3 linked regions of the Alligator mississippiensis genome follow. The protein of the gene in region 3 purifies or fractionates together with the protein of the main gene of each other region. This does not show direct contact. Links are inferred from orthologs where the notes say so. Each region holds a gene or a part of one and is shown on either strand. Other genes may lie near its edges.

Region 1 (10,758 bases), on a different chromosome or scaffold from region 3:
AATTGGCAAGCCACCGTAATTGATGGTATACAAATGGGAAAACCACCTTAATAGAAAGTATATAATGGTAGGACCACCCTACTTTAAAAGTCTATCAATTGGCAAACCACCATAATTTATGGTATACCATGGGAAAACCACCTTAATACAAGGCATACAAACGGTACAGCCACTGCAATTTAAGGTCTATCAATTGGCAAACCACAAATTTAAGCTACGTAACAGGGAAACCATGTTAATAAAAGTATATATTGGGAAAACCACCATAAATTTGAAATACGTCGTTAAAGAACCACCTTAATTTAAGGCATATAATGGCAGACCAACCATAATCTGTGGTATGTAATGGGAAAACCACCTTAATATAAGTGATATATGATGGGAAAAGCACCGAAATTTACAATCTATAGCATAGCAGCAGAATGCAATCAGGCACTTGTGATTCACACCTCCGAGCATGTTCCCAAGGACACAGAGGGGTCCCGGGGTGGGCCCCTGCCCCACAGTTACATGTATCACGCCATCCAGTGGCGAGTCAAGCAGTAAAAGTTAGGCTGGGCACACGTGCAAAGTCATCAGCACACCATAAAAATGGCAGTCCAGCTATGAAGTCAGTGCCTTTTGAAAGCGTGGGACAACTTCTGAGCTAGTTTCTCTCCAGCTTTAAAAAGAAATCAGGACTAGTGGCAGGGATGGGGGAGGGGGGTGGAAGCAACTGTGTTTCCCCACCTAGGCCGAACAAGGCTGTTGCATGATCCCTGTCCCACCAGGAGCATGTGGACACCTACCCCATGCCTCCACCGCGGCCTCCCCGGCTGCCTCGGCCACCTCGATCAAAGCCGCCGCGGCCATAGCCCCCGCGCCCACGGCTACGGTCTTGCTGGCCTCCACCATAGCTGCCCTGGTCCTGGTTGTTGTAGCTGCCACCACCACCACCACCACTCATGGACTGGTCCTGGCCATAGCTGCCGGCTGCAGGAGAAAAAGGGGGACAGCTCAGTGTGGGGGGCCCAGACACCTGGGTTCTTCCCACCTCTGGACTACCTCTACATCGGGGGGGGGGGGTGTTGGTTTACAGCCAAGAGCCAGGACTCCTGGGGTCTACCCCTAACTCTATAGAAGCAAAGGGGTCCACAGGCTCCTGGATACCTGGGTTCTCCCCCATCCCCACAACTGGGGGAAAGGAAAGCCATTTAATAGCAACCCCCCCTCCGAACTGCCCCCCCCCAAGGACTCACAGCCACTGCTGCTGCCACCTCCGCCACCACTGCTGCTGTATTGGCTCTGCTGGCCATAGCCCTGAGAAGAGTTGTAGGATGACGGCTGCCCATAGGAACTCTGCTGCTGGCTGCTGTAGCTGGACTGCTGGCCGTAGCCGCTGCCCCCACTGCTGCTGCCGCCGCTCTGGGGCTGCCCATAACCGCTGCTCTGGGAGCTGCTGCCATAGCTGGGGCAAGAGGGAAAAGACATGGGGCTGTAGGCAGGGGATCTGAGAGACACTTGGGTTCCTGGCCTGGGAGGGGGGCACACAGGGACTGGGGACCCAGATGCCCAAGTTCTCTGCAAATTGCACATGGTCTCGTAGGTGAGAACAGAGGGGAATGGGAGCCTGGACACCTGGGTTTTCTGGGAGGGGATGCGAGGGGGTGTAGTGTTCAGAGCTAAGAAACCCTGGGAGGAGCCCGAGATGCAGTGACAGCTGCAGGATGAGGTTCTCTAGGCAAGGACCGCGTGCTGCTGGGCTAGATTACAGGGAATTGGGGACCCAGACACCTGGCTCTCCAGGAGGGGAGGTGAGCGGGTGCTGGTGAGAGCAAGGGGCCTGGGTTTCCCACAGATACCTTCCACTGGAAGAGCTGGCTGCTGGCTGCTGCGAGTAGCCAGGGTAGGAGGACGGCTGCCCATAGGAGCTCTGTGATGTCTGGCTGCTCCCGTACCCTGTTGACGTCCCGTAGCCTTGTGGCGTTGACGGAGTACTATAACCTGGCAGGGGGAGAACACAGACCTCTTTCAACACCTGTACCCCAAAAGTGAACAAACCGCCCACCCCAATATCTGCTGCCCTTATGGACTGGCACTCCTTTACACCTCAGTTTCCCCAACGCGTAAGACAAAAATTATGAGAGCCAATTTAATAGACAGAAGCTGCTCAAGAAGCATTCAGGAGAGCGCCACCGGCAAGGAGGATGTAGACCTGATGCTTTAACGAGGCTGCCACAAGCGAGATCAAACGCTGCCAAAAAACAAAGCTGGGGGTGACTTGCCAAAGGAGCAAAACCAGAGAGCTGCTGCTCTGCCGTGGCTGAGGTGAGCCTCTCTTGCCGCAGAGGAGAATAAATTAAAAAAGAAGAGTTGAACCTTACGGACCAGCTGAAACAGGCACGCGTATGTCCATACGTAATACCCACATGTGCATTCACATGTGTACATATCTCATGCATGCATCCACGCATGAGCTCAGGGCAGCTGGGGGGAGGGGAACATGTAGATATAGGCAGGCCAGGAAGGGAGATGTATATACAAGGCAGGCTGGGAAAAAGAGAATACAGCAAATGTGCAAGGCAGGGCTGGAAAGTGAACGTAGGAGGTAGGCAGGCTGTGGGGGAGGGGGCGGCACACGAAGACGTACTGCTCTGCGTCTGGCCGTAGGAGGAGCTGTAGCTGTTCTGGCCGTAGCCCGAGGTGTCCCCCGACTGCCCGTACCCGCTGTAGCTCTGCTGGCTGTAGGGCTGGCTGGCCTGCTGCGAGTAGCCCTGCCCCGGCGGAGTGGGGTAGGCCCCGTAGCTGCAAGAGAGGACGCCCGGGGACGTGAGATCCTCCTAGCCCCTGGGTGCGGGCACCCGCCAGAAGTGGGCCTGCTGGTTGGACCGGGGGGGGGGGGGGGGGGGGGGAGACGGGCCACTGGCTGGACCGGGGGGGGGGGGGGGGGTACAGGAGGAGACGGGCCACTGGCTGGACTGGGGGGACACAGGGGCGAGTTGGACTGGGAGGGCGACACCCAGGACGGGATGCCCTGTTCGGCCAGGACATAAGACAGGACTGGCCACCGGTTTGACTGGGAAGATGGGACGCTGGATAGGATGCAACTCTGATGGGACTGGGAAAACCAGACACTAAGAGAACAGGCCCACTGGTCTGACTGGGAAATGGGGCACTGGGTGGACAGGGAAGGCGAGGGCCTGCGCCCAGGCTTGCCACGAGGGCCGGCGGGGGGGGGGGGGGTGCCATTACCTCTGTGTCGCCGGCTGGGAATAATCTGCAAGACGGGGAGAAAAGCGAGAGAAACCGTTAGGACCCCAAAGCCTAAGCTCGCCCCCCCCCGTCAGTGTGGGCATGGCGGCCCCACACCCCGGCACAAGGGACAGTGCCTGTAGCGGGGGAGGGGGGTAGCAGGAGTCATGTCACCCCAAGGAAGGCAGGAAGGCAGCACTTGCTACGGTACCGAGACAACCCTGGGATTCACGGCTGTGCCTGCTCCCCCCTCCCCCGCAGCATCCGCGGACGCGCGCGGGTGTCCTTCCGCCCAGGGACGCACGTGGGGGGGAAGCAAGAGCGGTCGGAGTTGCCGCGACTGCGCATGCGCACTAACCCCAGGGCGCCGCAGCGGCCCGTTGCGCACACGCCGGCCCGCCCCGGACGCTCCCGCACTGCGCAGGCGCCACCACGCAAATCCCGCGCCCCCCTCCGGCGCGCATGCGCAGCCGGCTCCCTCCGGCCCACGCGGGGACGGCGGCCGCCGCCATCTTGGCACACAAAATGGTGCCCAATGGCGCAGCTGGATAAAGGGAACCGCCGGGCCCCGCCCGCCCGGAAAATGGCGGGCGCTGGCTTTCCTCCAGCACGGCCGGGGGCCAGAAACGGAGGAACACTAGCTTGCACCCCCACAAAGCTTTGCGCCAGGTCGCGCTCCGGTGGGCTTGCCGAGGTACCCCCAACCCTTTGTATGACGTCGTGGCAGGCCCCCCCGCCCGTTGTGACGTCATCCCAACCCACCCCTGCTCCGTGAGGTAAGTGCACCCCAGGGGCCCCCCCGCCCCCTACATGAGGTCACGACATGCCCCGACTCGTGACATCACTCCACCCCCTAGAGCTCCCCTGGACGTCCCTCACCCCCCACCAACCCCTCGCATGACGTAACCGCGGCCCCCGCTATCGCCACTGCACGATTGCCCTCTTAAGCCAGCACGCGACCTCGCTGCCCCCCGGAAGTCCTCACATTACAGTCCATGCGTAGCCCCGAGCACTGCACGACGTCACTGCCACCCCCGTGGCCTCCCCACCATTGTATGACTTAATTGCAGCGCCTACGTTGCACCCCGAAAAGCAGCCTAGCCCTCACCGTTAGACGCCATGTCCTCCCTCCGCGCTGCCCCGCACCGCACTGCGCGCCCGCCCCCGCCCCCGGCCTTGATATACCCGCCCCGTCCCGCCCCGCCCCCGGCCGCTACCATCCGCAGAAAGGGGGGAGCGCAGCACAGCTTCGTCTCCCCCCGCCCCATTTCCCCTGAGCCCTCGCTCCCCCCCCCCGCGTGCGGATTGCCCCCCTCCCCGGTGTTGCTGTCGTGCTCTGAAAGGGGAGGGTGCTGCTCTTCCTGCCCCTCCCCGCGGGAGGAGGAATGGTACAGTCCGCGGGGCTGCGGTGGGGGGGAGGGATGAGCTCATGGCGGTGGGGGGGAGGGGGGAAGGAACCATGTGGGAGAAGTGGGGGGGTGTAAGCTGCAGCTGGCTGGGGGCTTGCAATGGGGGTGTAAATGGTGTGTGCGCTGGGGTGTGAACTGGTATATACGAGTGGGTGTGCAGCAGTGTAAATGGATGCACAGTGGGGGTGTAATTGGTGTGTGTACTTGGGTGTGCAATGGGGGGTACGGGTGGAAAGGGGGTTGTGCAGGATGCGGAAGGGGGTGAGAGAGATGGGGCCTTTGTGGACAGGGTGTGTGTGCGTGCGCGTGTTGGATGCCTGGGGGGTGTGTGTGTGTGTGTCCTGGATACCTGGGGACTCTTGTTTGTGCATGCACACGTGTGTGTACGCGAAAGAGGAATTGTTTTGCAAGTTCGGGGGGGGGCTGTGTGTGGGTGTGGGTGCATGCACGCACACGGCCCGGACACCTGGGTTTTGTGCGTGCACGCATGCATGTACATGCACACAGGTTATACGCCTGGGATCTGTGTGTGTGTGCGATGCCACGACACCGGAGGTGTGTGTGCACGCGCGTGGGTGGGTGGCCTGGACGCCTGGGTCGCGCTCTGGGCCCACAGGCCTTGCTGTCCGTCCCCCCCGCACGCCTGCTCAATGGTTTCCTCCCCTGGAACACCAGGCTCACCAGTCTGGACCGGCTTAAACCAGCTGGGCCGTTGCCTTGGCAACAGGGAGCCCAATGGTCCTTGCCACCCCCCACATCCCCCCCCACCTACCCCCCATCTCCCGGACAGTGGGGCGGGCAGCCTGGACGCCTGGGCTTGGGCGGGGTTGTGTGGAGCGTAGGGGGGGAGCCCGGGGGGGGGGTGCCTCTCCATGCCACGCTCATCTGCTGTGAGGCCCTTCTGCAAGGCAGCAGATTATTTTGTCATCAAGGGGAGTATTATACACAAGCAAGTATGGTAACCGCTCCCCCCTCCCCTTCAGCTTCTCCAGGACACAAATAGTGCACCCCCCCCGCCCCCCACATGGGCCAGCCCGGCGCCTCCCCCAGGACGGGACAGGCGGGGGGCACAGGGGACGGGACGCGCTGCGCTGCGCTGCGCTGCCTGCGTGACTCAGCTGCAGGTTGGGCCTTCTTCCCATCACCCCCTTGGCCTGATGGGGGGGGATGGGGCAGGGGAAATAGGGGCACGGGGGACTCCTCCTTCCCCCCACCCCCGCCCAGCTGATGGGGAGAAACTGACCCCCCCCCCAGGGATCAGGCCTACAAGGAACCAGGGAGAGGGCACTTTTATGCGGGAAGATACAGTAGAAACCTAGCCCGTGCTGCTATTGCCCCCTCCCAGAAATCACCCCCCACATTTGGGGTAGGGGGCAGCTGGGTATTGCCCCAGGGCAAGGACCAGCTGCTGCTTTGAACCACCTCCCATAAGGCAACAGCTCTGGCATTACCATATTTTCCCATGTATAGCGTGCACGTGCCTGCCCCCCCATATTTTGAGGCGGGGTGCACGAGGGGGGAATCTGGTTTCTTGCCCCAGAGGGAAGCCCCCTTGCTGTCATCCCCATTGCGGCAGCTGTGTTATTACCGCATTTTCATGCATATAACATGCGATCCCTGCCCCCAACTCAGCCCCCACAAGTTTGGAGGGTGCATATCAAGCAGGAAAGCTGATTTTTTTGCCCCACAGAGAAACTCTCCTGCCTTGATCCCTGCAGTGCAGCCTGGGCGTTACCGTATTTTCTGACGTGTAATGCACACCTGTCTCCCAGAGGCGAGCAAAGGGGCCTGTTGTGCGCTAGAAAATACAGAAGCTAGAGCATGCCGAAGTAGGGGTGGCTACGGCCCTCCAGCCTTTGGAAGAATACAGGCCTGACTAATTCACCCATCGTATTTCTTTGGCTTCGGATACAACTTCTAAACCGCTTAAAAAAGGGGAGACACGGACAGCAAACGATCATATTTATTCATGTATCACATGCCTGTCACTGCAGCCCACATCTTCATTGGGAAAGGAGGGTGGGGGGAAGTTTCCCATGTCACTGCACTCTCCAGCATCCATTTCCAGCTCCATTCCCTGAGTTTTGGGGGGAAAGAGGCGCGTGGTAGGTGAGTAAGTAAGGTGCCTCCCCTTGCCGCTTTTGGGAGGGGCACGGCTGAAAGGAAAAGGCTGAATGGTTGGGCTCAGAGGTGCTGGGGGGTGGGAACTCTTTTTTCTGCCTCTTCCCAAATGAGCCACATGCGTGATTTAAAGGGGAGACGCGTCGTACGCTAGAAGCTACGGCAGAGCCCGGCAATGGCGGCTGGCAGCAGCTACGCCGCCGTCCGCGACCACCGCCAGGAGCTCGTGGACATCATCGGGCGCGATCCCGAGAACACCCTGGACGAGCTGGTGGCCCAGTCGCTCCTCAGTGAGGACGAATACGACGCCCTCAACCAGACGCCGGGGGCAGGGCCCAAGGTCAGGAAGCTGCTCATTTGCATTCAGAAGAAGGGGGAGGCGGCTTGCCGGGCCCTCCTGGAGCAGGTGGACGCCCTCTTCCCAGGCTCCGTTCAGGCCTTGCTGCACCCGCCGCTTCCCCGGCCCTCGCTCTACGGTAAGCTGTGCCCCTTCACCATGTTTTCCTGCATGCAACACAGCACAGCGTAGGCTTGGATTTGAGCTCGCACCACCCCTGTTGCCATGTTTAACCTCCCCGCCACCTCCAAACCACCTACATTTCTTCTTTGCTTTGGTTTTCTTTATAAAAAGCTCTACCCAGGAACCACCAAGCTCCTCTCCCTCGACTGGATGGGGAAGTGGCAGAATATCTGTCCCCTCATCAACGTGCCAAGACCAGCACGCAAAGCAAAAGGAAACGGAGATGGGAGATTAGCGTTGTGGTATAGTGGGGAGAAAAATAGGCGGGTTGTGCACTAGAAAACACAGTAAAACACAGCTCATTGTTCCCGTTATTCTGTTCCCTCCTCTGCTTTTTAATTAATTAATTGCGTTTCTCCCTGCCTGGCTAGATTTCTACAACCCCGAACGAGACGCGCAGCCATCGCGATTCTCTGAGCGCCAGGAGAGGGACTGTGTCCACCCCGAACCAGCTGCAGGAGCAGGAGAGCAGGAAGAAGAAACGCCAAGAGACAAGGAGGGGGAGGAAGACAATGAGGGGGATCCCCAGGAGGAAGGGGAAGGGGCTGAGGGGGAAGCAGACACAGCCCCGGACCCGGAGGAAGAGGAGGGCGGAAGCCCAGAAGAACCAGAGCCAGAGCCAGAGCCAGAGCCAGAGGAAACATATTCAGACACCGATTAACACCCCCCCCAAAAGAAAAATCAACAACAAAAATCAAAGCATCTAGAACATTTAAACAAGGAGATGAATGAGGGAGACGTGACAGTTGTAGAGAGGGAGGAAAAAAGTGAGTGTTGTATACCAATAAATACAGTAACTGGCATTATCTGAGCATAACACAAAGCAGCAGCCAGACCAGGAGTAAGGCCATTCAAGCCAATGGTGGCATGAATAAGGGAAATGAGAGTCATGAGTGGGGGGAAAGCATGTTGTATACTAATAAATACGGTAGCCGACATTATACACCAATACATTTGGTAACTGGCATTACATGAGTGTAACAAAAAGTAGCAGCCAGACCAGGATTTAGGCGGTTCAAACCAATGAGGGGGAGGAGGGAGACGAGACAGTCCTAGAAAGGGATAAAAAAGGGAATGTTGTATACCAGTAAGTGTGGTAAGTGACATTGTACCCCAATAAACACGGGCACTGCCATGGTAGCGGCGTAACAGAGCAGCAGCTGGACCAGGCTTCAGGACCAAGGAGGTAAACGAGAGAGACCAGGCAGAGGGTAAAGAGAAAAATGTGAGCATGCGTACCAATTACTGTGATAATAGGCATTAATACAGTAACGGGCACTATATGAGCGTGATGCAAAGCAGCAGCCGCGGGGGTGAGGTTAACGAGGGGAGGAGACCTTTCACTTGCCCACTTCCCAGTGGTGACCTCGGCCTGCGTACAGGACGCTGACGTAACTTGCTCCCAGCGCACCGTATTCGTGCGACTACCACCGCTCTCAGATGAAACCCGCCCCGCCATTTGGGGAAGACTAATCAAAATGATTTTCCCCTTTAAATCGTACTGTCCCGAGCCAGCTGGAGACCCCCATTTTCAGTGGGGGGGGGGCAGGTGAGAGTTATATGCCAATAAATAAGGTAATTGACATCCTACCAGTGGAAAATGAGGTAGCAAGCAGGCCAATGAGGTTACGGAGACAGATCAGGGGAGGGGGCTAAATCCAGCCTGCATCTTGGATGAACAGAACCTGATCACTGCAACATACCGTATTTAGCCGCCTATCACGCACCCTCTGATGTGGCACATGCCCACGCTGTGGAAAAGGGGACAAAACCCAAAAGGTTCCTTTCCCTTTAAATTGAGCAGGCCAAAGGCAGGTGGACATGCCCCCACTTACAGGGAAAAGCAGCGGGGAGAGAACATTATGTACTCAAAACTAATGGCATAATTAGCATATAAGCCAATTTGTCAAAGGGACCCTAGATGCGTTATATACACAGCAATATGGTAAATCCCCACCCCGCCTGTATGAAGTAGGAGGGGTGTTCTTTATCCTTAACTGTTTGGAGGTCGTTATGGTAATTAGGAGCCTTCTCCCCTCAGACCTGATTGCAGAGCTCTGGGGAGATCCTGTATTACCTCGCATACAACGCGGGCACCTTGTTTCTTCCTCTCCCCGCCTCTCCCAACAAGGCTTTTCCAGGGTTTAGCCCCATGGGCCAGCTCCTGTGTTCACGCTTCCTTCCCCGTCCCTGCTCAACTAAAGCTGAAGCGCTAGTTGCTGCAGGAGCCCGATTTCTGTGGGCGGAGCCATGACTTGAGGCTGGGATATGGGAGGGGAGAGAACAGCCAGTGGAGAGCAACATCCTGGAATGAGATCATTTAGGAGAGAGGGTCGTTAGCAGCTCCTCGTTCTTCACTCCGCAGCCAAGACAACTCTCCTGGGAAGGAAGTGAGCACCCCTCTCGGCCTCCACTTGGCACTGTGGTACCGACCCCGACCCCTGCAGTCCACCAAGGCCTGTCCAAATTTGCATGTTTAATAATGGTAGTGAAATACAACGAGTCCAACGGGAATCCGATCCTCTCCCCGCCGCAAAGCCACCTGGGAGAATCCCAAATATAGTCCATGGGGGGTGGGGGCAGGACATGTGCGAAGATCAAAGTCTTCCCCACCCTACCAGAGGGGCAGGGCCACGCGGGTCATCCGAAGCCATCCCCCCACTGCCGTCCTGGGGGGGTCCGCTCAGTTGATGGGGAGTGGTGATGAGGACAAGAAGTGGGGGGGAAAAAACGGGGGGGGGAGACAGGAAGCAAGTGTGCATGGGGGAGGGAAGAACGAAAGACTGGGACAGGAAGTGGTTGAGCAGGACAGGAAATACAGGTCCTCCAGGCAGGAAGTGGGGGTTGGCTATGACAGGAAGTGGGGACAGGGGTCAACCAGGACAAGAGGTGGGGTGTCCACAGACAGGAAGTGGTCGACCAGGCCGGGAAACACAGGCCCGCCAGGCAGGAAGTGCGGGATAGGCAGACGAGGAAACAAGGGGTGTGCACGAGGACGAAGTGGGGTGCTCCAGAGAGGAAGGGAGGCGCCCCCCACAGGAACCGGGGGTACGCAAACAGGAAACGAGGGCTCAACCAGGGCAGGAAGCAGGGCCACTCCAGGCAGGACGTGAGGCTCCCCCGCACAGGAAGTGGGGTCCTCCACCCGGGAAGTGACCTCCCAGGCCCCGGCCAAGGCCTCCGAGGCTGCCAAGCGCGCCCCGAGCGGAGCGGGAGGGAAGCCAGGCAGGCGGCGACCCTAGATGCGGAAGCTCTCCTCCCTGCCGTCGATGTGGCGCAGGCGCAGGTAGACGTCGGTGCCGATGCCCTGCAAGGACTGGAGGCACAGGGACCCCCCCAGGTACTCGGCGTAGGCCCGCGACGTCGGCAGCCCGAACCCGAACCTGCGGGGGCAGGGGTGAGAACAGGCCCGGACACCTGGACTCTCCCCGGGGGGGGGGGGGGGGGGCCGGCGCAAAGGCCGCTGGGAACTCACCC
Region 2 (10,328 bases), on a different chromosome or scaffold from region 3:
CAATCACCTAAGCAGTGAATGCAGCACCATGGGATTGTGGCAGAAGAATTGTTTGTGCACCACTGGGGCAATGCTGTACCTGGGATGTTCCTTCCTATTAGCACTGGAATACTCTTGAGGAAAAAAAAATGTTACTAGCTCTTCGCAAGCCACAAAGCTGCAAAATGTAAAGATTTACTGCACCTATAGTCACCTTTAAGAAATAGATCTTACATTTTTTCCTGTGTAGGAGTAGTGGGGTTGAGCATGAGAACAATCTTTGATAAACTTGCACACCTCAGGCATATTTAGTCAGCTAATCATTGCTAGTTTCCTAGAACCAGTTGTAACACTTTGCATCCACAAGTGAGCGTGACAAATAAATTACACTTCAGCAGGACTAAGTATTATTTGACACTATCAGTTCTGGCTGAACTGTTTTAGTCATGGTGTGCATGAAGACTAGCTAAATCAATTCAAGCAGTTTTCTCGCTCGCTTCCCAAAGTGCATCAACCATCTTTTCAAGTCTCACTAAAACTGTTGCTTCAAAAAGCAATAAAAAATTAGAACAGCTTGGCTAATACTAGAAGAATGCAAGGCATACTACAAATGTTCAGTGTTGAATTTGAAATCCATCATCTGACTCGAGAAGCATAACAGCCAGTTCCGCAAGTCTCCAGTATAGAGAAGGCCACAAAGTGAAGCACTTCTTACCTCGTTTAAACCAGCCTAACACAAACTGCCTACTAGATCAGGCAGAACACTGACGTTGTTTATCCTCACCATGTAAGTACCAAAGCTTATACAGCACATGGCAAAGAAAAGCAAGCTATGAAACTGCTTGACAGTTTCATTTTTGAAAGCTGCCAACAAAACTACCTAAAAGATATTATTCATTGAAATGAAAAAGGTAATGGAATTACGTATGTGCATAAAGTTTTTCACTGCAAAGTTCACACGTCAATAAATGTACAAGTACTGCTTTATACTGCTTATACACAGTATAAAACAAGGTGTTCCATTTCTAACACGAAACATTAAAATTGCTGGATTGCTGTAAAAAGAGTTAAAGTGCCTCCGCTGCCATTTTTCAGCGTGGGGATGCCAATAGATGTGACACTGCGGATGCTTTAATTAGAGTGGCTCTCATTAATTGAACTCCCCCCCCGGTCTATAAACGGCCCAAGGGGCACCCTGCCCTAACTTCTGCACGGGTGGGGGGCGCGGCTACATCTCAAATCCCATCTATTCCTCTACCAATCTTGCCTGAGCAAGAAGCTGTAATCACCAAGTGCCATGACTTATCACATTATCTTTTACCATTAACTTTAGTTCTCTAAGCCACCATTATAACTCATCCATATCACTCTTAAAATCTCACTTCTTCCATAAAGGTCAAAAAAGCAAATTTGAAACTGCATTTTTCCTCCAGGTTTCCCTGGGTATTGTGCCTTCTCAAGTACAAGAAGGTGCAGAAAAGCCCTTTATTTTTGGCTTGTATAATATTAAAGTACACTAGAGTATTTATTAAGTACAGTCAAATAAAAACAAAATGAAAATTTACTATAGGGTGGCAAATTCATTATAGATTTTTCTTCTTTCCTGCCCCCCCCACAATCCATTACCTTACCTTACCATGTCTGAGCAGTAAAGGCAGACAATCAAAATTCAGGGAGTGGGACATGGATTAATAAAGTATTTTATAAACAAACCAATTACTTCATATAGTCTTGAAGAAACATCACTTTTTGCACTTTGTAACATCTACTTCAATTCTTGATTGAATAACCACATAGACAAACAACAAACGCTCAGTTCTACAGTAATTAAAATTTTTATTTATTAAATATCTGACAAAAGTCAGACTGTAGCCAAACAGAACCCAGAGGAAAAGATTAATATTGATGGAACTTGATTAGTTCTATATGCTCCTTGCTCCCTTAGCCTGCGATTATAATTTTAGAAATACTCCTATGTTCTTGCTACTGCACTGAATTATTTCCGTAAGTTTTCTTCTGTTAACAGCTCAGGTTCTTCCCTTTCAGTGTTGCTAATTCTGATGCTGTTCTCAACTAGATACTACTCTTGACACTAGGTGCTTAAAATAGTGAGCCTTGCCACCTGGCCATTTACATTAGGGTCCCAATAACTGTTAGAAGAGCATTAATACTAGTTAGAGACATTTAAAATTTTCTTGTGCAGGGAAGCCCTTTAAATGAAGCACTATAGCATGTATACTTTAGCTGTAAATTATTCCAATTACTACTGCGCGCTGTAAATGTTATTCTGCCTGCAAAGAAACCTCTCCTAGTTTTGTTCAGCATTATGAACATTTAGCTATATGTAGGGAGACGGTGTCATCACTGGCAGCCCCTAAACCTTAACCTTTAAAATGCCATATCATCTTTAAAATTTGATTTCCTTAACAAATGTTTACCTACATGCAAGTAATATCTTAGCTCTGCCTTTGATGAATTAGGACATATTTTCTTGTCTGTAATTTCCACCCCCCTTTTTTCAACACCCCCCCCCAGCCGAGTATCCTGTGCATAAACACACAGCAAAAGGTATAAAAAAAGGCAAATGCCTTTAAAAAAATTCCAAAAAAGCAGGAAGGTAGACACAGAAAGACACAATACCTGAATACTTTGATTGTCATTTAAAATTGACAGCATTTCTTTTAAAAGAAAAATACTGAATACATGAGAATATTACAAAATAAGACACTTTCTAAAGTTTTTGGAAGTTAATTTTAATTCTATTTTTAATTCTAATTTTAATCCATAACCATACAACTGGTCGATTCAATTTATATTCTGTTTAGGAAATAGTAATAATCCTGATGACTGATCAGCCCTATTCACATGACACAATTAAAGGTATTTTCAGAGACTTCTGATGTGTGTGTGAGTCATATGAACTGTGCTGAATATATTAAGATTCAAATACCCTCCTTGGTGGTATACTCCTTGGTACTACTAGTTTGCAGGGAAGCAATCGACTTCTTTTTGGACCGTTTGCCAGCTGAAGTTGAAAGAGTCTGTGAATGACCAGGAATGTTTGGTCTTTGATGAAGAAACGAAAATGATCTGCATTAACCAGAAACTCCCAGACATGTCCACATATGCAAACAAGTCTCCTGAAAGACTGTTTTAGTGGTTATATGAACAGTACGGCTTTAAAAAAAAAGTGTCTGCTCCAGATGTAAGAAGTGGCACTACGACCACCGTCCCACCGCGTCTCACTCCTACCTCCCAATAACCATTTCTAATCTCACAACAGACACAAAACTAACCTACCATTAAATAAAACTAGAACAAAGAGCACACATTTCAGACTAAGTCACTCCTTGTTTCATTACAAATATATGGTTCAACCTCTTTTCCTCCCCCCCCCCCCCCGCCCCGACCCCCCCAAAACCAAAAAAATGTGTGGAGTTAGCCCTGTAAAACCTCCACGCATATTTTTCTGCTGGCTTCAGAACCAGGAAAGCTGTAAATATTGGTGGTAACCAACACTTTCATCAGCAAGAAGACTTGCCACAGCACATGCAAGTACTCCTCGAAATCTTTACCACCCTCCATGACGGTGTTCAAGGGGTGGCTACCGTGAAGATGACGGCACTCCTCCACACAACATTTGTACTTGGTTGGCTCCTCTTAGCTCCACGTACCCCATGTGACTGCAGGGGGGGTTGGTACCCCCCCAAGTTTGGGGGACACACCAGGATCTGGGGGGGGGCACCAGGATGGGGATGGACGGGGATGCACCAGGATGGGGGGGGACACAGGAGGGATGGGGACACAACAGAATTGGGGGGGGCATCAGGGTCTGGGGGGATGGATGGGGATGCACCAGGACTGGGGGGGGGGCTGTACCAGGATTGGGGGGGGACACACCAGGATTGGTGGGGGGGGCACACCAGGGTGGGGGGGGCCGCCTGCTCCTCCCCCCCCTCCCCTCGCACCTTCTTTGGTCTGCGCGTTGGTGATCTGCAGGTCGCAGTCGGCCGCCTTGAGCTTCTCGCGGCCCATGATCTGGCGCTTGAGGTCGCACAGGGAGATGTGGAGCCCGTCGAAGGTGACCGTGTCATAGTTCAGCTTGGACGAGAACTTGTAGTGCACGCAGGACATGGCCGCGCCGGCGGGGGGCACGCGGCCCGGGCCGCGGGACGGGCGCGAGCGGCCTGCCGGGCTGCGCTGGGGCGGGGCGGGCCGGGCCGGGCCGGGCCTCACAGGCCGCGGCGCTCCGCTACGGTGCTCGCGGGCGCCGCAGGCTCCATGGCGGCGCGGGGGGCCGGGCCGGGCCGGGCCGGGCGGCGCTGCTCCGTGCGGGCGCGAGGCGCGGCGAGACGAGGCGAGGCGAGGGCCGCCGGGGCTAGGCCCGGCCCGTCGCGATGGCGGCTGCCTGCCTCAGCGGCCCCGCGCGGGGTTTCCCGACCAGGAACCGCAGGGGCCGGGGCAGCGGCCGCACTGCGCAGGCGTCACAGCGCGCCACGCCCCCCGCCCCACGTGACCCGGCGCATTATGACAAAGGCGCCCGCCCGCCCGCTCAGGGTCACGTGACACGTGGGGGGGGCGGAGGCGGGGCTACAGCCTGGGACCGCCCTCAGTGCCCATGTTGTGCCTATGTCCCCTCAGTGCCCATGTCGTCCCCTCAGTGCCCATGGTGACCCCTTGTGCCCCTCTGTGCCTCAGCCAGGGACCCGCACCGAGGTGGGCGAGCTGGCAGAGCCGTTCACTTCCCCACACAGGTGTTGCTCACCGCCTCCTGAGTCCGAGGCAGCGGCCCCCAAGCTGTGGCGGCGTCGCCAACTCATGATTTGGGGGTCTTGCTTTTAATGTCTACGAGTGGGGAACGTGAAAACCTTAGCTCTTTCTTTTATCTCTATTTCCATGCGTTTTTCACGCTCCTGACTTCAAGAACAACGCCAAAAACCATGACAGCTGGCCATAGGCGACTGGGAAGGGGGCATGTGCCCCCCCAACAGGGCCGTACCCCACTGCGGGCGCTGATGCCAGCTTCTCGGGGTGCCCGCCAGCCCTGGCCCCGCCGCCGATGCCGACGCCAGCTTTTGCAGGAGGCCCCGGTCGCCCGCGGAGTTGGCAGTGCTGCCCAAAGGGGTCCCAACATCAGCACGTGGGGGGCTGCGGGCCGGGACACAGGGAAACGGGCCTCAAGGGGGTCGTGCTGAGGACACGTTTGGGAAGCGCTGGTGTAACGAGTCATAGATCGTTCATTCATTCGTAGGAGGAAGTCGGGGCCAGCCCCGAATGGCTGCAGACAGGCAACGCTGTTTGTGCCCCGAAGTTGGCAAAGAACAATTTTCCCAACTGTAGTTGGTCTAATAAAAGAGACCACTTTGCCCAGACAACCTCGTCTGCTTTTTTTCCTCGCCAATGCAGACTTTTTACCATCTTTAATTCTCCCTGAGCTGGATGAAGGGCGCGTGAGCCCGAAAGTTTGCAGAAAAAGACAATTTTTGGGGCGATTTTTTTTAGTAGGTCTAATAAAAGGTATCATCTCTGAACCAAGAGTTATAGATTCTTGCATTTCTTTTCTCACACGCGCTCTCTCTTCGTCAGCACATAAGACCGGCTGTTATTTAGGGCGCCAGAGCCTAGGTCCGGTGTGCCCAGTGTCCAGCGTCACACAGCGGCAGAGAGTGGAGGCTGAAGGAGGGAGTGAATGGGTCTGACCAGGGTTTTCCTTCTCTCCCTTGCAACCTCCAGCATTTAAGGTCCAGGCACTTCTGATGCAGAGGCCATGCCCCTCGTTCCCATGCTCCGTAGCTGCTGATGCCCGTTGCCCCCAAGCACGAGTCCAGTCCCTTGGTGAATCTGGCTACGCTGTCGGCTTGCACCATATCTGGTGGCCACGAATGCATTGGATCAGGAGGTCACGCCTAGCCCAACCCCTGCTCCAAGCAGGACCAGCTCCAACTCCATCATCTCAGCCAAGGGAGTTCTGCCCTTTAATGACCCACTGGTCATTAAAGAACTTCCTTGTCTTAGTTTTAAATGTACTGCCTACTAGTTTCATGGTGTGACCCTTCGTTCTCGTATTGCGAGAGAGCAAATAATAAATCCCTATGTTAGCCTTCTTGGCAACAAGGACATGCTGTTGATGCATATTCATCTTATCGTCCACTGTAAAGAGGCCAGGTTTGGTCCATTTAGATGCGACGCTCAAGGGGGGACATGAGAAGTTTGCAAAATACTAAATACTTCCCCAGCATCCCGGGCTGCATCGGTAGGAGCATTGCCAGCAAATCGAGGGCAGTGATTCTTCCCCTCTATTCAGCACTGGGGAGGCCACATCTGGAGGCCTGTGTCCAGCTGTGGACCCCCACTGCAGAAAGGATGTGGACACATTGGAGAGAGTCCAGCGGAGGGCAACGAAGATGGTTGTGGGGCTGGGGGACAGGACTGGTGAGGAGAGGCTGAGGGAACTGGGCTGATTGAGTCTGCAGAAGAGAAGATGGAGGGGGATTGAATAGCAGCCTTCACCTCCCTGCAGGGGGGCTGCAAAGAGGATGGAGCTGGGCTGGTCTCAGTGGGGGCAGGTGGCAAGACAAGGAGCAATGGGCTCAAGCTGCAGCAAGGGAAGTTGAGGTTGGATATTAGGAAAAACTGTCTCATGAGGAGGGTGGTGAAGCACTGGGACAGGCTCCTCAGAGAGGTGGTGCAGTCTCCAGCCTTGGGGGTTTTGAAGACCTGAGTACACAAAGCCCTGTCAGGGAAGATGTAGTTGGGGCTGGTCCTGCTTGGAGCAGGGGGTCGGACTAGATGCGGCCTCCTGACATCCCTTCAACCTGAATTTTCTATGAGTCTGTGATCCTTTAGTCTGTCCCCATATGGAAACCCCTCCACACCATTGATCACCCTTGGTGCGCTTCTCTGGACCTTCTCTAATTCTATATCTTTTTTGATGGGTGGGGACCAAAACCGGGCGCAGTATTGAAGGTGTCAGCTTCTACTTAAGAAAAATCCCAATTTCCACCTGTGTCCATGTGTTTAAATACAATCTCTTAAAGGCCCTTTCTTGAGCCTGCAAGGGTTCACACAAGGCTTTTTCATTGAAGACAATCCCAGCATTGGTTGTACCAGCTGATCTCTTTGGATGGGAGCAATGGGTGCACCTTTAGGATAGGTAGGAAGCCATGGTACCATGTCCCGTGGTGAAAACACCAATTTATCTGCACTCAGGTTGCTCTTCCCTGCCTTCTACTAGACTGCAGACGAACCCAGCTCACCATGTTCCCTGTCAGCGAGCTGGACAGGCGATACTGGTGGGAAACAGACAGTCTGTATCACAGAGGTAGGCCATGAACTCTGAACACAACCTACTCATTTTGGCCACTCTTCCTGTTGACATCTCTTAGAAATGCATTCAGATTTTGGCAAAAATTCCTATGGACAGTTCTGTTGTTCTTGGAAGTGGGCTTTAACTATTTTGTAATTTAGATACGTGTCAAACAGAGCAATGTTCTTTAGGTTTCTGTTAGATCAGGGGTGGACAAAATGTGGCCCATGGGCCGGAAGCGGCCTCCCAAGCCATGCTATCCAGCCCGCGGGGCCCCTAAAAATTTAGAAAATTAATATTTATCTGCCCCTGGCTGCCTGTCATGCAGCCCTTGATGGCTTGGCAAAACTCAGTAAGCAGCCCTCCACCCAAAATAATTGCCCACCCCTGTGTTAGATGCTCAGAAGAGGGGCAGAATGAAGAAATGGTCAGGATGCACAAGTTTGTCAAAAGATACTTGGGAAAAACGATTTGCAGGCTGCTATTCCCCTGTTCTGAAAAGTACTCTGCTACTGAATACAAGTGATTTTCTTACAAAGTAATAAGATAACAAATACTGGGAAAGAACTAGGTTACAGGGATTAGCTCTTGGGAGTGTGCCAGTATCACTTGTAGGCTGGATACAGATGACCGGATTGTCAAAAGAAGTTAATTGTATTATTTCTTGGCCCAGAACAGGCAAATTGCATCTCCAAACATCCCGTAAAAACTTGAATGAATGAATGAATGAATTTCCAAAGTCATCACTAATGACCATAGACAGAGAGCTAATCATCATCCCAAATATTCATGATATACATTGGTCATTTACCAGAACAAACAAATGTGACTTTCAGATATGTAGGTTGGATATATTTTCTTTTTTAAGTAATGTGCTGGGGATAAAGTGAAAAGAACAGAAACAAAGCAATGAAAATGGAGAAATGAAGCACTATTTAAGAAGCAACTAGGAAGACTATATATATATATATCTATATATATAGAGATATATATATCTGTATAGACACAGAAGCAGAGAAAATAAAACAGGAAAGAAAATAGAAAATAGCTCTCATATTTTAAGGATTGTGGAGTTCCTGGTTGCAATTTTAAGTCCATATACTGGGTAGTGTCCAATTATACCTTTTTTTTTATTTTTGGGAAGGAACTATTGCTCGGTGTTATGTTACTAGTGTAACCTTTAAGGCCTATATGGTAAGAACTGTTTACAAAGAATGAACTAATGACAAATATATAGTTTTCACATTAGAAAAAAATAATCCCCAAGATTATTTCGTGGCCACTTTCTCTATACAGTAGTTTATGGTAGAAGATCAAAATGTACGTAATTGTATACATTAATTTTTAAACACCCTATCGTGAATGCCATCATTATTTTTCAGTAATTGCCGGATTAAAAAATAAATTTAAAAATATTACAGCATTTTAAAGTTATGCAGCAGTTGTGCAGCAAGTGCATTTATGAACACAGGATTTGAATTTTGCAAAACATAGGGTTGTTTTTTGGGTTTTTTTAATATTAGTTTTCTAGCCTTTCTGGTTACAAATGGTTGCAAGGGTAATCTTCTGAGTAGACAGTGATGTAGATAAGTCCACCTGTGAACAAATGCATTTGTTAAGAAATGGGTTTGATTGCAAATGGGCCTAAAGAAAAATAAATTTGCCATCAACATTTTAAATAACAAAACTTTGGACCTCTGAGACTTCAAATGACAAATGATCTTTATGGATGTCATGAACTGTAGGGTAGGTAGTTTGGAGCTTATATGCAGATTATAATGTATATAGATTTTTATAAGATCTTTGATATCTATGTATTATTATTATTATTATTCAGTCAATGCTTTTCCATTGCAACTCTGACAGTCTGCAGTGGCATTAGAAACACAACATTTTAAAATACTTTAAAAAAAGGAAGTTAAAAAATGTTAACATACAGTTAAGATTGCTATACACATTTAAAAGAAAAGGACGACTGATTTTATATATATCATTCAACGTATAGATAGATATAGATATATATATATCATTATATAGAATTGAAAAGTATCAAAATCCAAGTGAGGCTATATAAACAATTCCTATATCACCTTTATCTCACACACCATTAAACAAAAGTATTCTATGTGAGCAGCACCGTACTTCTGCAACAAAACACTCCCCACAATAGCAAGGGCTAAATGAACCTTACCTATTTCTTTCACTCAGAAACATGCAAAGAGTGGGATATACAAAAATGACTAAAACACAAGTCCTATGGATTTTAGTGTATTTGTGTTTCTAAGTCACTTAGACGTACACTCCAAAATATTTGTTCCTTGCTCTTACCCATGCAAACTTTTTAAAGCTTCTGATCCATGATACAATGCACAGATTCACAAAATGAACTGATCTTCCACAATTTCCAGAGCACTGTAGGGATTATGAAATGCGCTGTAATTATGCAATAGGTCGTGTGATGTTTTATCAGATCCAGTATAAGCATAACAGTCTTCCAGGAATCCATGATCTGACACATGTGCGCACGCACACACTCACACACACAGAGGAGAAAAAAGGACGGTAAATAGCAAACCATTGATTTGCCAAATGTTTGTTTAAAGCTTCTTTTAATGATTTAAACAACCATGTAGAGAGACCCCTCAGTACAATCAAAGCGAGCGCTCTCTGGGTTTTCAATGGAAGTTGGATTGTGCTCTGAAATGGTTATACAAAGAGCAGGGCTGTGTCAAGGTTGTTTGAATGATGCTCATTAAGAGTGTTTCTCCTTTCAAGTTCTGTGTGCACCCACTGGTATCAAGATTGCTTTTATCACTTTCAGTGGCAAATTGTCTAAGTTGCACATGGCAACCTAAAAGGGAACTTGTCCCAGGTTTTTGTTTTGTATTTGCAGATTGGTCAGGAAAGAGAAAGAAAAGTAAGAATAGGTGCAGAAGAGGTGTTTTATCAGTCTGCTGCTTGGTTTATAGACATCATTACAAGCTGCCAAGGGAACTACATACTACTTGAAGTACCACTTGCCAATTTACCTGCATCATTTAGG
Region 3 (10,356 bases):
TTAACTAAATCTTAAACCACTGCTGACACGTTTCTAGAGATGAGCAAGGGTTTGGGTTGTAGCCGTGTTGGTCTAAGGACATAGGCAGACAAGGTTCCTTGGGTGAATTTGATATCTTTTATTAGACCAACCTAGGGATGACTGCCTAGAGATGAGCAAGGCATTTGTATACCTACTCAGAGAAGTAGGGCTGGAAGGGACCTCCAGAGGTCATCTAGTCTGACCTCCTCCCTGAGATAGGATCATCCCAATCCAAACCATCCCATACAACCCCAGTCCAAACTCTACATCAGATTACCCTCAACCCTGACACAACATAGACTTAACCTACCACAGGTAAAGCAAGGGAACCACGGCAGCCAATGTCCTGCTTCTATAAAATGTTCTCAATATATAGTCAAAAGGTTCTGGGTAGAGGACCGAGCCCCCTGCAACAAGGGAAGGCAAAAAACCCACAAAGTCTGTGCCACTCTGACCATGGCATCAGTCTGACCCTGAGCAGAGGGGCAAGACCCTCTAGCCATAAAACTCTGGCTTTGCTCCTGTAAAATTGGCATACCTCAGTTGAAGTCCCCAGCCCTAGCTGTAGCCAACAGCCAATTTCTCTGGGGAGGCTAAAAAACACCCTGACGCACATAACAGGAAAAAGAGGCAGTGGGAGGGAACGGGGGCGGGAACAACCAGCAAAGCTCAGAAGCACGGGAAAGACCCAAAGTAGAAAATAGGCACAGCTACGTCTCCATCATCCCCAACCAGTGGCTGATATGCCTCTCCTTGATGGAGAGTCTTTCAATGATCACGAGTCCACAACTTCCCTATGCAGTCTATTCCATTGCCCCACTTTTCTCAGTTTATACAAACCTAGTTTATGTTATTCTCACGGTTTATACATACATTGCTGATGTTCAATAAAAAGTGTTTATACCAACCAAATGCTATGCAAAATACTCACCTTCAATATATACAGAAAGAGATTATTATTTGTTTCTTCTAACAAAAATATTGTCCTGCACTGTTTTACCAACAAAGAAATACAGCACTGGACAAGAGCATGAAAGAAGGTATAGTAAAGCTAAAGGCAGTAAGAAAAACCCCAAGTGGCTAGTGGAGATTTTAAAATGGCCATTTCATTAATCCAGCATTCAGCTAAGTGTTGCGAGGACTTACTTTCTGGAATAAGATTTTGAATCCACTGCTTTCTTAATGCAACTTACCCAAGGCAAGAGCAGGAGAGTCAGAGCTTGGATGCATACTCTGGAAATCTTGGCTGCAGGTCCTGCATTCAGGACCATGCCCAGTTCCTACTCTCTGTTAAAGCAGGGACTAACAGATAAGGATGGGAAATGGCTTGGACATAAAATGAAAGTGATGGAATTGAGTAGAGTTAATGTTTTCGGCCCTTGACAAGGCCTGTTCTAGGCAACAGAGCTAAATTCTGCCCCCGGCTGCTATGTTGTTCCCAGTAAAATCTACAGAAGTTGTGCAAAGGATTCCCATAGTGGAATGTATCCTATTTTAATAGTGATGTCTTAATAGCTAGACACACATGCAATTTAGTCAGACAAGCTGCGCTAATCAGAAAATCTATAGCTATCACTCTCAGCCTGCTGAATTAAAGCTCTGCTGCTTTCTGATAAAAACTGGCTGAAAGGCACAACAGTTTAAGCAGCACATCCAGTTAAACCTATGGAAATTTAACCTTTGTCTACAACAACAGTGAATTGACCTGTTGCTGAAGACAGCCTGGTAGCAGTGGGTCCAAGGAACTAGAGGTGAAAGTACGTTAAGGAGGTGATGAAGAAATGCCTTGCAATTGAGAGCTTCTCCAGCTCTATCCTAACCACGCAGTTTGTCCAATAAAAGGCATCACTCACAAAAACTTTTTGCCTTTGGCATACTTCCTGGACCATCAGGGCTATAACATCACTCCAACATTATGAACACAGGTTAACTCGTTGTCATCAAACCTCAAGAATACTTTCTGTAACCACGCTGAAAGTGGCTTTGTCCTTTAGATGCTGCTACTTAAGCAAGGGTTTGAGAAAGACAGGACTACTGGAAAAGCTCTATCAAGTTCCAACAATTGCTGCAGAACCTCCTGTCATTAAAAAAAAAAAAATGGTTCAGCCAGTATACTAGCAAAGAGAATCTCAAAACCCTGATCAGAGCAAAAACCAATGAAGTAAGAGTCTCCTTCAGGTGGCTCTAGTACTTCAGTGACTGCTCAGTGCTTTCCTAAAGAGCAGAAAGTGAAAAGTTGGCCAGAGCTGGAACAGAAAATACTTTGAAGTTCCATGAGTCATCGGCAAGATGGATAGTTGCAGAAAGGTGAGAGCAACAGTAGCAGCCCTGCGAAGAAAACCTCATAACAGGACTTCAGGAACAGAGTGAGGAACAGATTGGAAAAGACCTCTAGTCAGAGCAGATACGACATCGCGAGAGACTCTTACAGACTGGCTCAGCAGCCAGCAGGAGGCTTTCTTCCTGAAAGCATTCCCTCTCCCTTTCAGCTGTCAAAGAGAGCTGGAGGTGATGAAAGGGTTTCACATACATCAGACACGTAGTAGCCAGAGGCCAACACAAAAACAGTCCACAGCAGAGCTCCTGAGCAGCATCCAGTTGCAGCTGTACAGTGAACTGCAGCACCTTTTCCTTTGCAAACAGCAGAGAAAAGCTGACTTCTCTAATCTGATCTTTGCCCTGTCATTATCTTTTATGTGAGTCTGTTTCTGGTAGTCCATGGGATATCTAGTACCTGGCAATTCCTTTTGGCCAACCTATGTATATGGGTGGGTGAGGGCCAGTGGGCAGATGTAGGGAAAAACATCAAAAGAGAAACACTAATGGGATAGGTTAGACAAAGAGCAGGATGATGAGTGACTTGGGGAGATGGACAGGAAGACAGGAGACAAACAGAGGTGAGGAGCTAGGGAAAGAAAAAATATAAAGGAACAGAACAGAAAAAGAGACGCTAAATATGGCTCAGAAAAAAAAGAGACAGTGGGATCTAAGAAGAGGAAGAAAAGATTCAGATGAAAGCCAAGAAGGTAGGCAGAACAAAAGCTGAGGGGTATAGTTAAAGGCCTGAAAACCTGCAACACTCATGGACCCAGAAGGACAGACCTCCATCTCCAGCTTCCCACTGTGCAAAAATGAAGTTTTATTTCCTACCTAGGGGACATTTTACCATCTTTAATTTTCCCTGATGAACGGCATGTGAGCCCAAAAGCTTGCAGAACAAGACCAATTTTTTTTTTTTGCGATTTCTTAGTTGGTCTGATAAAAGGCATCATCTCTCTGAACCAAGAGTTCTAGATTTTTGCATTTCTTTTTGTCTCAGACCAACACAGCTACCAAACACATCCCTGAAAACCTGTCAGGTAGCTGACAAAGTCAATAAAATCAAATACATACCTGCCCTGCTCCCTTAGAGAAAGTACGGTTTAGAAGATGTACGTGTGTGCGGGTGAGGGGCGACTTGGATTTGTCAAACTAGTGGGGAGGCATCAAGAAAGCCTCTCAAAGGCTGCACGAAGCTCTCTTCAGCACTAGTCCTACAGCACTCCCTTGTGATAGCCACTTCCAAAGCCAGCTTCCCACATCCCCCAAGTCGCACTTTCCGAAACCCTAACTCCAGCCCAACGAGGGGACACAGTTCCCTGCCTTCTCTGGTGGATTAGAGACTGAACAGCTCCAGTGCTGGAGTTCAAACGTCACAACTTACCGCTGCTGGGGCAAGTCAATCTCTTCCACTAGCTGTTCCCTATGGGATACCAGTCTGCTACTGGGAATAAACACATTTTTAAGGCATTCAGCACACATGCATGAATAATTAGGCAGCAGAGTTAAGCATTCAAGTCAGCCAAGGATTTGTTTAGATCAGGAAAAGATTTTGATCTCTGTCCCGGGTCCAAACAAACCTGGAGGTGCTCGGGAGCGAGAGTTCAGCTCTCTTCGGCTCTGCTGTTGATTCATGGGGAATATTTGGGGGGTTACTGATCCTAACGCACTGGAACCACGGCAGGAAAATCCTCCCTGGAACAATGATGGCGGGTAATTCGGCAGCACAGCACTAAGGGCAAAGCGCGCGGATCCTGCTCGGGGCAGAGGCTGCGATGGCAGCTCCTGCAGGGAGCCTCGGGGAGCAGGAGACGGCCCGGCTGGCACAGGGCGACGTGGGGCTGGGACGCGCCGCTCCGGGTGATGGCGGCACCCCTGGGAGCTGGACATGGGGACCTTCTTCCCACGCTCCTCCACAAAACTCACGAGCACGTCTGGACGCGGCTCCCCTGCGCCCACCCCCCGCCCCACAACCTCTGTGGGAGCCAGCCCCTCACCCCCTTCTCCTGGTGTCTGGCCACCGGCCCCCAGCCCCTCCCCCACGCTGCTATGCCCAGCAGGCCCCTGCCGCCATTGGGCCCAGCCCCTCCCCCACTCTGAGGCACCCAAGCCCACCCCCCACATGGGTGTACCCCCCCATGGGACCATCCCCCCAGTGTACTCAATGGGACCCCCCCTCTAGTGCACCCCCCATGGGACCATCCCCCCAGTGCACCCCCCCATGGGACCATCCCCTCAGTGTACTCAATGGGACCCCCCCCTCTAGTGCACCCCCCATGGGACCATCCCCCCAGTATACTCAATGGGACCCCCCCCTCTAGTGCACCCCCCATGGGACCATCCCAAAGTATACTCAATGGGACCCCCCCACTCTGCTGTACCCCCCCCATGGGACCATCCCCCCCACTGTGGTGCACCCATCACTGGGCCCCACCCCTCCCCCACTCCGGTGCACCCAAGCCCATCCCCCACACGGGTGCACCCCCCCAATGGGACCAGGCCGCCAGCCCCCGCTCTGCACGGATGCCAACCCCGCAGCCCCTCCCCCCACTCTGGTCCCCATCCCCCATTCTGGGGTGCCCGCCCCCCCATGAGGGCCCAGCCCCGTCCCCAGGCCCCGCCCCTCGCGCTGGGCCCGGGCCCCTCCGCGCTTGCCGCCCCCTCCCCCGTCCCGGGCCGCTCCTCACCTGTGCGGGGGGAGGGGGCGGCGGGGGGGCCGGGGGCGGCGGCTCCGGCTCTGGGCGCGCGACGGGGCCTCTACGCGCGGCGGCGGCGGCGCAGGGCGGCCATGGCGTGACATCATCAGCGCGCGACGCAACGCGACGCGCCCGCGCAGGCGGGAGAGGGAGAGGGAGGGGGAGAGGTAGGGGGAGGAGGGAGGAGGGAGGAGCAGCCCCCGCCCCTACCCGGCCGGGCCTTAAAGGGGCCGCGCCCCCGGGGCACGTGGGCTGGTGTCCCATGGGCCACACGGCTCAGTGCTGGGGCTCTCAGGTGATCACCCCCCCTCCATGAGCCGCACAAATCTTACAAGGGGGGTGCTCTTGAGGTCGCATCCATATGCAGGGGGCAGGATCAGCCCCCTCCAGGCACCCCCAGAGTGACAGAAATCCGACAGCAGTGGGGTTAGGGGGGACCCCTCCCCCGACAACCCCCTGCTTGAGGCAGGATCAGCCCCCTCCAGACTGTCTATTACAGCAGGGGGGCTGGGGGTCATATCCATATCCAGGGGGCAGGATCAGTCCCCTCCGCAGCACCCCAGACACCCCCAGAGTGACAAATCCGACAGCAGGGGGGACCCCCAAGGTCGCATCCAGTCCAGCCCCCTGCCTGAGGCAGGATCAGCCCCCTCCAGACTATAAAGCACCCCCAGAATGACCGGAAATCCTACAGCTGGGGGGGTAGGGACCCCGAGGTCAGTCCCTTAGCTAGCCACGTCTCTATCACAGTCCTCCCAGAGCAGCGCAGGGGTGTCTGTCATGTGGATCTCAGGCCTGAGCTCGGTGGCATGCCCTATGTCTGCAGTGGGCTCAGCTCCTTGCAACCACGCGGGCATTAGCCCTAGGTGACCCGCTCCTGCCCTGGCCGGGTGCAGGCTGTATGCCAGGGATGGGCTTTGCTCGTGGCTTGCAGGAATCACCTGGCCACGACCCAAGGGGCTGCACCATCCTCTGGGACTTTCCCCTCTTCCCCAGCTGGCGGATCCACCCCATCTCCACAACTGTGGGGCTCCATCCAGCGCGGTCCTAAGCAGGGACGGTCATGGGGGCAGCTCATGGGTCTCCCCTGCGGTTCCCGGGGGCCAGCATTCACCTGGGTTCACGGGCTGAGCTGCCAGATGCCGCTGTCTTGTCCTGCCCTGCGCTTTGGTTTGGCTGGCTTCATCCTTGGGAAAAACACATCACTAATCTTAATAAGCAAGCAGTTCCCAGTCCCTAGCATTATGCAAATACACGCTAATTAGCAGCGCCCACACCCCCAAACCCTCACAGAAGATAGAGGCAGATTGTGCATTGATGATGGGCTCGGTGTGGCTCAGCACAGCAGTGCCAGAGCTGGGATCCGCTCCCCACTGCTGGGCCATGCCTGAGCCCAGGTTACGACGTCTGCAAATGCTCTTGCACCTGCAGCGGGAAGGTTGTCACAGCACTGTGAGCCCCAGACTGCCCCTGTCCTGTGGCAGCCCCTAGCAAAGGCCAGGAGCAGCTCAATGAGCTGTGCTACCCCAACTAGCACGGGGGCTGGAGACCCTCAGCAGCAGCATGCACAGCCCTGCCAGGGCAGCTCTGGGAGGCTTGTGCCCATGCCACCGCTATCCCTTAGGAGACCAGGTGGGGAGGCAATGGATGTGGTTTGGCAGGGAGGGCACCACCAGGTCCCTGCTGTGGAGACTGTGCCCTCCCCTCTCTCCACCTGCATTGGCTCCCAGCTGGGCAAGCTGCAGATGCAGCAGGGAAACTCTTGCCCAGGACACTTCCCCCACCTGGGAGCAACACAGGCCTGGAAGCAGCCGCCTGGGTCAGCTCCCTGTAATTACCACCCACCTGGGCCTGAAGAACCTGCTTTGGCTTCTCCTCCGCAGCCAGCCACAAACCCATGAATGCGCCCGCAAGGCCTCGCAGGCAGCCGGAGAGGAGAGCGGGGAGACCCCTGTCTTCCTGCGGAGGCAGGGACCCCACTAGTCCCCGGCTCCAGCGGGGTTTGCTGTGATGCCTTGAGAAAGCCAGTGCCCCATGGGGCAGTTCTGCCTTTGAGGCAGGGCTGCTCCTTTCAGGACTGCAAGGCATGGACAGCAAAGCCAGGGATCTCCGCTGAGCTGCGGGCCCACAAGCCAGGCAGGGATGCCCCAGGGCTGAGGTGTGGGGCTGGAGCTAGAAGCAAAGGAGTCTAATATTATATGGCTGGAGATGAACAGAGGGGTGCAGGGCTCGAGACACCCAGGAGCCCCCACGGTGGTGGGCACAAAGTCTCTGCTCCCATAGGTTAGCGAGGAGCGAGGAGCTGTATCAGCTGATGAGGAGTCCCCTTATATCTGCAGCCAGCCGCAGCAGCCAGGCAGAGCAGACGGGGAGAGGCAGGGAGCCCGGCTGCTGCCTGGTGGGGAAGGGATGGCGTGAAACCAGCTCGGGAATGCCAGCTGCTCCACCGTGTCCACCTGCTTCTGTCCCCTGGCTGCTCTGGGGTCCGGCGCCTTCCCCAGTAAGTTCTGCAGGGAAGTTTCTTTGGTGGGTGTTTCAGCCGCTGGTGGGAGCGGGGCTGACTTTGCAAAGAGGGGCAGCAAGGAGAGAGCAAGGAGCTGGAGGGGACGAATGAGGGGAGGGCTGGGGATATTCCCCTGAGTTTCTAAGATCCAGTGCAAGGGACCAAAGGAACCAGGCAGCTGCAGATAGACAAAGCACCTGATGCTGCCAGCTGTCAGGCCATGCTCCGCTCCATTCCCGGTGCGCTGTCTGACATGTGCTGAGACCCCCTTCCCCGGACTCCAGCTGCGCCCGTCGAACTGTTCTGGGAATCTGTGTCCATTCCCCTTCGTGGGAGATCAGCTGGACGTCGGCTGCCAGAGCCTGCGCGACGCATCCAGGGCTGTGGGGATGCACAGACCTGCTCCGTGGTGCAGCTGGGGAGAGGGTGACACCGGCTGTGAGATGCTGACAGTGGCTGTCACTTCAGATCAGAATAAAACCCCGAGCTCTGGCCAGGGAAACCCACCCCCCCGCAGTGCTGCATTGGGCTCCATCAGAGCTTTCCCTGTTGGCGGGAAGGAAGGCAAGGCAATAGCAAGAGTCTTTGTTCCAGACAGGCTGGAGCAGGAGGTTTTGAAGGGGGTGCATCTTTTTGCTTGTCCTAGTTGGGTCGTCCCGGAGGCCACCTATGTGGTTTGGCAGCAAGATTTCCAGCTGCATCTGTCTGACGAGCCCTGTGCCCCATGCCTGCATCCCACTGGGAGCTAGCGCGGGGTGACGCGGCCAGCCTGGGTGCCCCTGGGTCCAGGCAGCACCTCAACCTCCACCTAAGGAGCGGGGCACACGCAAGCCCCGAAGTGTGGGCTTGGGGGGGTCTCTGGCATCTGGTAGCCAAGGGAGGAGAGAGCGCTACGTTCCTGCTGTGAGGCAGATGGCATTGCTCTTGCCTCTCACAGCACATGGACTACGAGCTCTCCCCTCACCAGGGACTCGGATCACCAGACACCTCCAAACTCCTCAGCTGCTGGCTACATCCCAACCCTGCTGCTGGCTACATCCGTGGCCTTGGGAGGGGGGTAATCCTACATCAGCAAGAGGGGCTGGCCTGGGTGCAATGACAAGCATTTCCAGCATGCAGCTCCATGCCAGCACAGGGCCCCCCACCCAGGGCGCACACACGTGTAGATGCCCACGACATGGGTGACTCCATGTCCAGGAGGCATCACCCCACACCCACCCCCAGGCACCGCCCCCTGTGCAGATGCCTTCACTATGAGGTCTGATGCTGGGGTCTCACTGTGCTCAGCACTGTGCAGGATCAGGCCAGGCCAGTGGCGGGAATGGCAGGGGAGGGGAGCAGACGGACCCCGCAAGTGTCAGAGAGGAAGAGAGGCAGGCAGGATGGAGGGGGGTGGGCTGTCACCATGGCAATAAGCCTGGGATGAATAGAGACAGAGGAAGCCGAGAGCCCCCGCCCGCCAGCCCCCTGCGGCAGCTCAGCACCGGCAGCTCTGATGACCGGCTACTGCCCCTCGAACTCACTGCCAAGGCCTCGCCAGCAAGCACCGGGGCTCCCAGCCGACGGGGAGGTTTGCTAAGCCCCACCTCAAGCCCCAGACAAGATTTGCCCAAGTCCTGAGCCAGCCAGCCCCAACTCTACCCTGTCTGGGGTTCCTCCTGGGATGCATCCCCGGGATACCCCCAGCACAGGGCAACAGAGCAGCTTGGGAGAGAGAGAGGAGGCAGCTCCCTGCGGGAGCGCAAACACGGGCAGGCTGGTCGCTGACATGGTCCTTTCCTTGCAGCACCACTGAGGCACCCCTGCACACGGGACCCGGGGGGAGCAGGGCACAGGCAACCAGCACAGCCCCTCCTGGCAGCTGCCGAAGCGGCTGCAAGCTCCCAGCAGGCCGTGACGATGGAGAACAGCAGCAGGCTTGACAGCCCCACCAACATCTCGCTGGCGGGCGCCGACACCGGCCTGGCCTTGCTCGAGTACAAGGCCATCTCCGTCTTCCTGGTGCTGCTCATCTGCGGAGCCGGCATCGTGGGCAACGTCATGGTGGTGCTGGTGGTGCTCATCACCCGGGACATGAAGACGCCCACCAACTGCTACCTGGTGAGCCTGGCAGTGGCCGACCTGATGGTGCTGGTGGCTGCCGGGCTGCCCAACATCTCCGACAGCCTGGCAGGCACCTGGGTGTACGGGCATGCTGGCTGCCTCGGCATCACCTACTTCCAGTATCTAGGCATCAACGTGTCCTCCTGCTCCATCACCGCCTTCACCGTCGAGAGGTAGGAGCGGATGCCAGCTGCTTTGTGGCGACCCTTGCAGACCCAGCCAGAGCAGTTGGCTCTATGATGCCAACCCCGGGCACTTGGGAGCTGCTGGTCAGCCAGCTAATGCTGGCAAGCTGCAGTCAGGGGCGGCTGCATCTGGACCATGCTAGACAAGCTCTTAAAACCTCCAGGAACAGCCATTCAGCCCAGCTCCCAGGACATCAACACACCCTGACCCACACAACGGGAAGCCAGGGGTGGGCTCCTGCCAACACCCTGCTGCTGGGGAGCTAGTTATCCCCCACTCTGGAGATGTGCATGGGGGGGGTCATGCACAAACACGCCTGTGCAGAGCTAGTGCACACACGCTCCTCCCCATATCAAGCCCTCCTGCTCTCTGCTGTGGGCATTGCCCACCTTATCTAGTGGGTGAATCGGGTGTGAATGCTGCAGCACCGGCACTGCAAGGGGATCTGGGTGGGCCCGAAAACTGAGGCTCATGCTGGTGTAAGTGCTCTCAAGCCACCCAGTCTGGGCTTCAGGGGCTGCCCAAATG

The links.
Region 1: the proteins of ZC3H18 (region 3) and FUS purify together in Homo sapiens (affinity purification with mass spectrometry; 3 studies listed by BioGRID and IntAct, with this or other methods). This does not show direct contact. The link is inferred for Alligator mississippiensis from reciprocal best matches to the Homo sapiens genes ZC3H18 and FUS.
Region 2: the proteins of ZC3H18 (region 3) and RBBP6 purify together in Homo sapiens (affinity purification with mass spectrometry; 3 studies listed by BioGRID and IntAct, counting the BioPlex papers as one, with this or other methods). This does not show direct contact. The link is inferred for Alligator mississippiensis from reciprocal best matches to the Homo sapiens genes ZC3H18 and RBBP6.

The regions. Positions count from the first base shown.
Region 1 is NC_081830.1:430,820-441,577, forward strand, and holds the start of FUS (RNA-binding protein FUS), read right to left. Parts: upstream 4,393-10,758; 5' UTR 4,353-4,392; coding exon 4,340-4,352; intron 4,008-4,339; exon of another isoform or gene 3,640-4,007; intron 3,257-3,639; coding exon 3,232-3,256; intron 2,785-3,231; coding exon 2,630-2,784; intron 1,984-2,629; coding exon 1,842-1,983; intron 1,448-1,841; coding exon 1,239-1,447; intron 973-1,238; coding exon 789-972; intron 1-788. Other genes in the region: nucleolar protein 3, read left to right, coding at 6,937-7,237, 7,653-7,942; BCKDK (3-methyl-2-oxobutanoate dehydrogenase [lipoamide] kinase, mitochondrial), read right to left, coding at 10,520-10,664, 10,757-10,758. UniProt on the Homo sapiens protein: DNA/RNA-binding protein that plays a role in various cellular processes such as transcription regulation, RNA splicing, RNA transport, DNA repair and damage response. Binds to ssRNA containing the consensus sequence 5'-AGGUAA-3'.
Region 2 is NC_081836.1:58,479,994-58,490,321, reverse strand, and holds the start of RBBP6 (E3 ubiquitin-protein ligase RBBP6), read right to left. Parts: upstream 4,393-10,328; 5' UTR 4,114-4,392; coding exon 3,948-4,113; intron 1-3,947. UniProt on the Homo sapiens protein: E3 ubiquitin-protein ligase which promotes ubiquitination of YBX1, leading to its degradation by the proteasome.
Region 3 is NC_081833.1:75,181,626-75,191,981, reverse strand, and holds the start of ZC3H18 (zinc finger CCCH domain-containing protein 18), read right to left. Parts: upstream 5,134-10,356; 5' UTR 5,028-5,133; intron 1-5,027. Other genes in the region: thyrotropin-releasing hormone receptor, read left to right, coding at 9,439-9,815.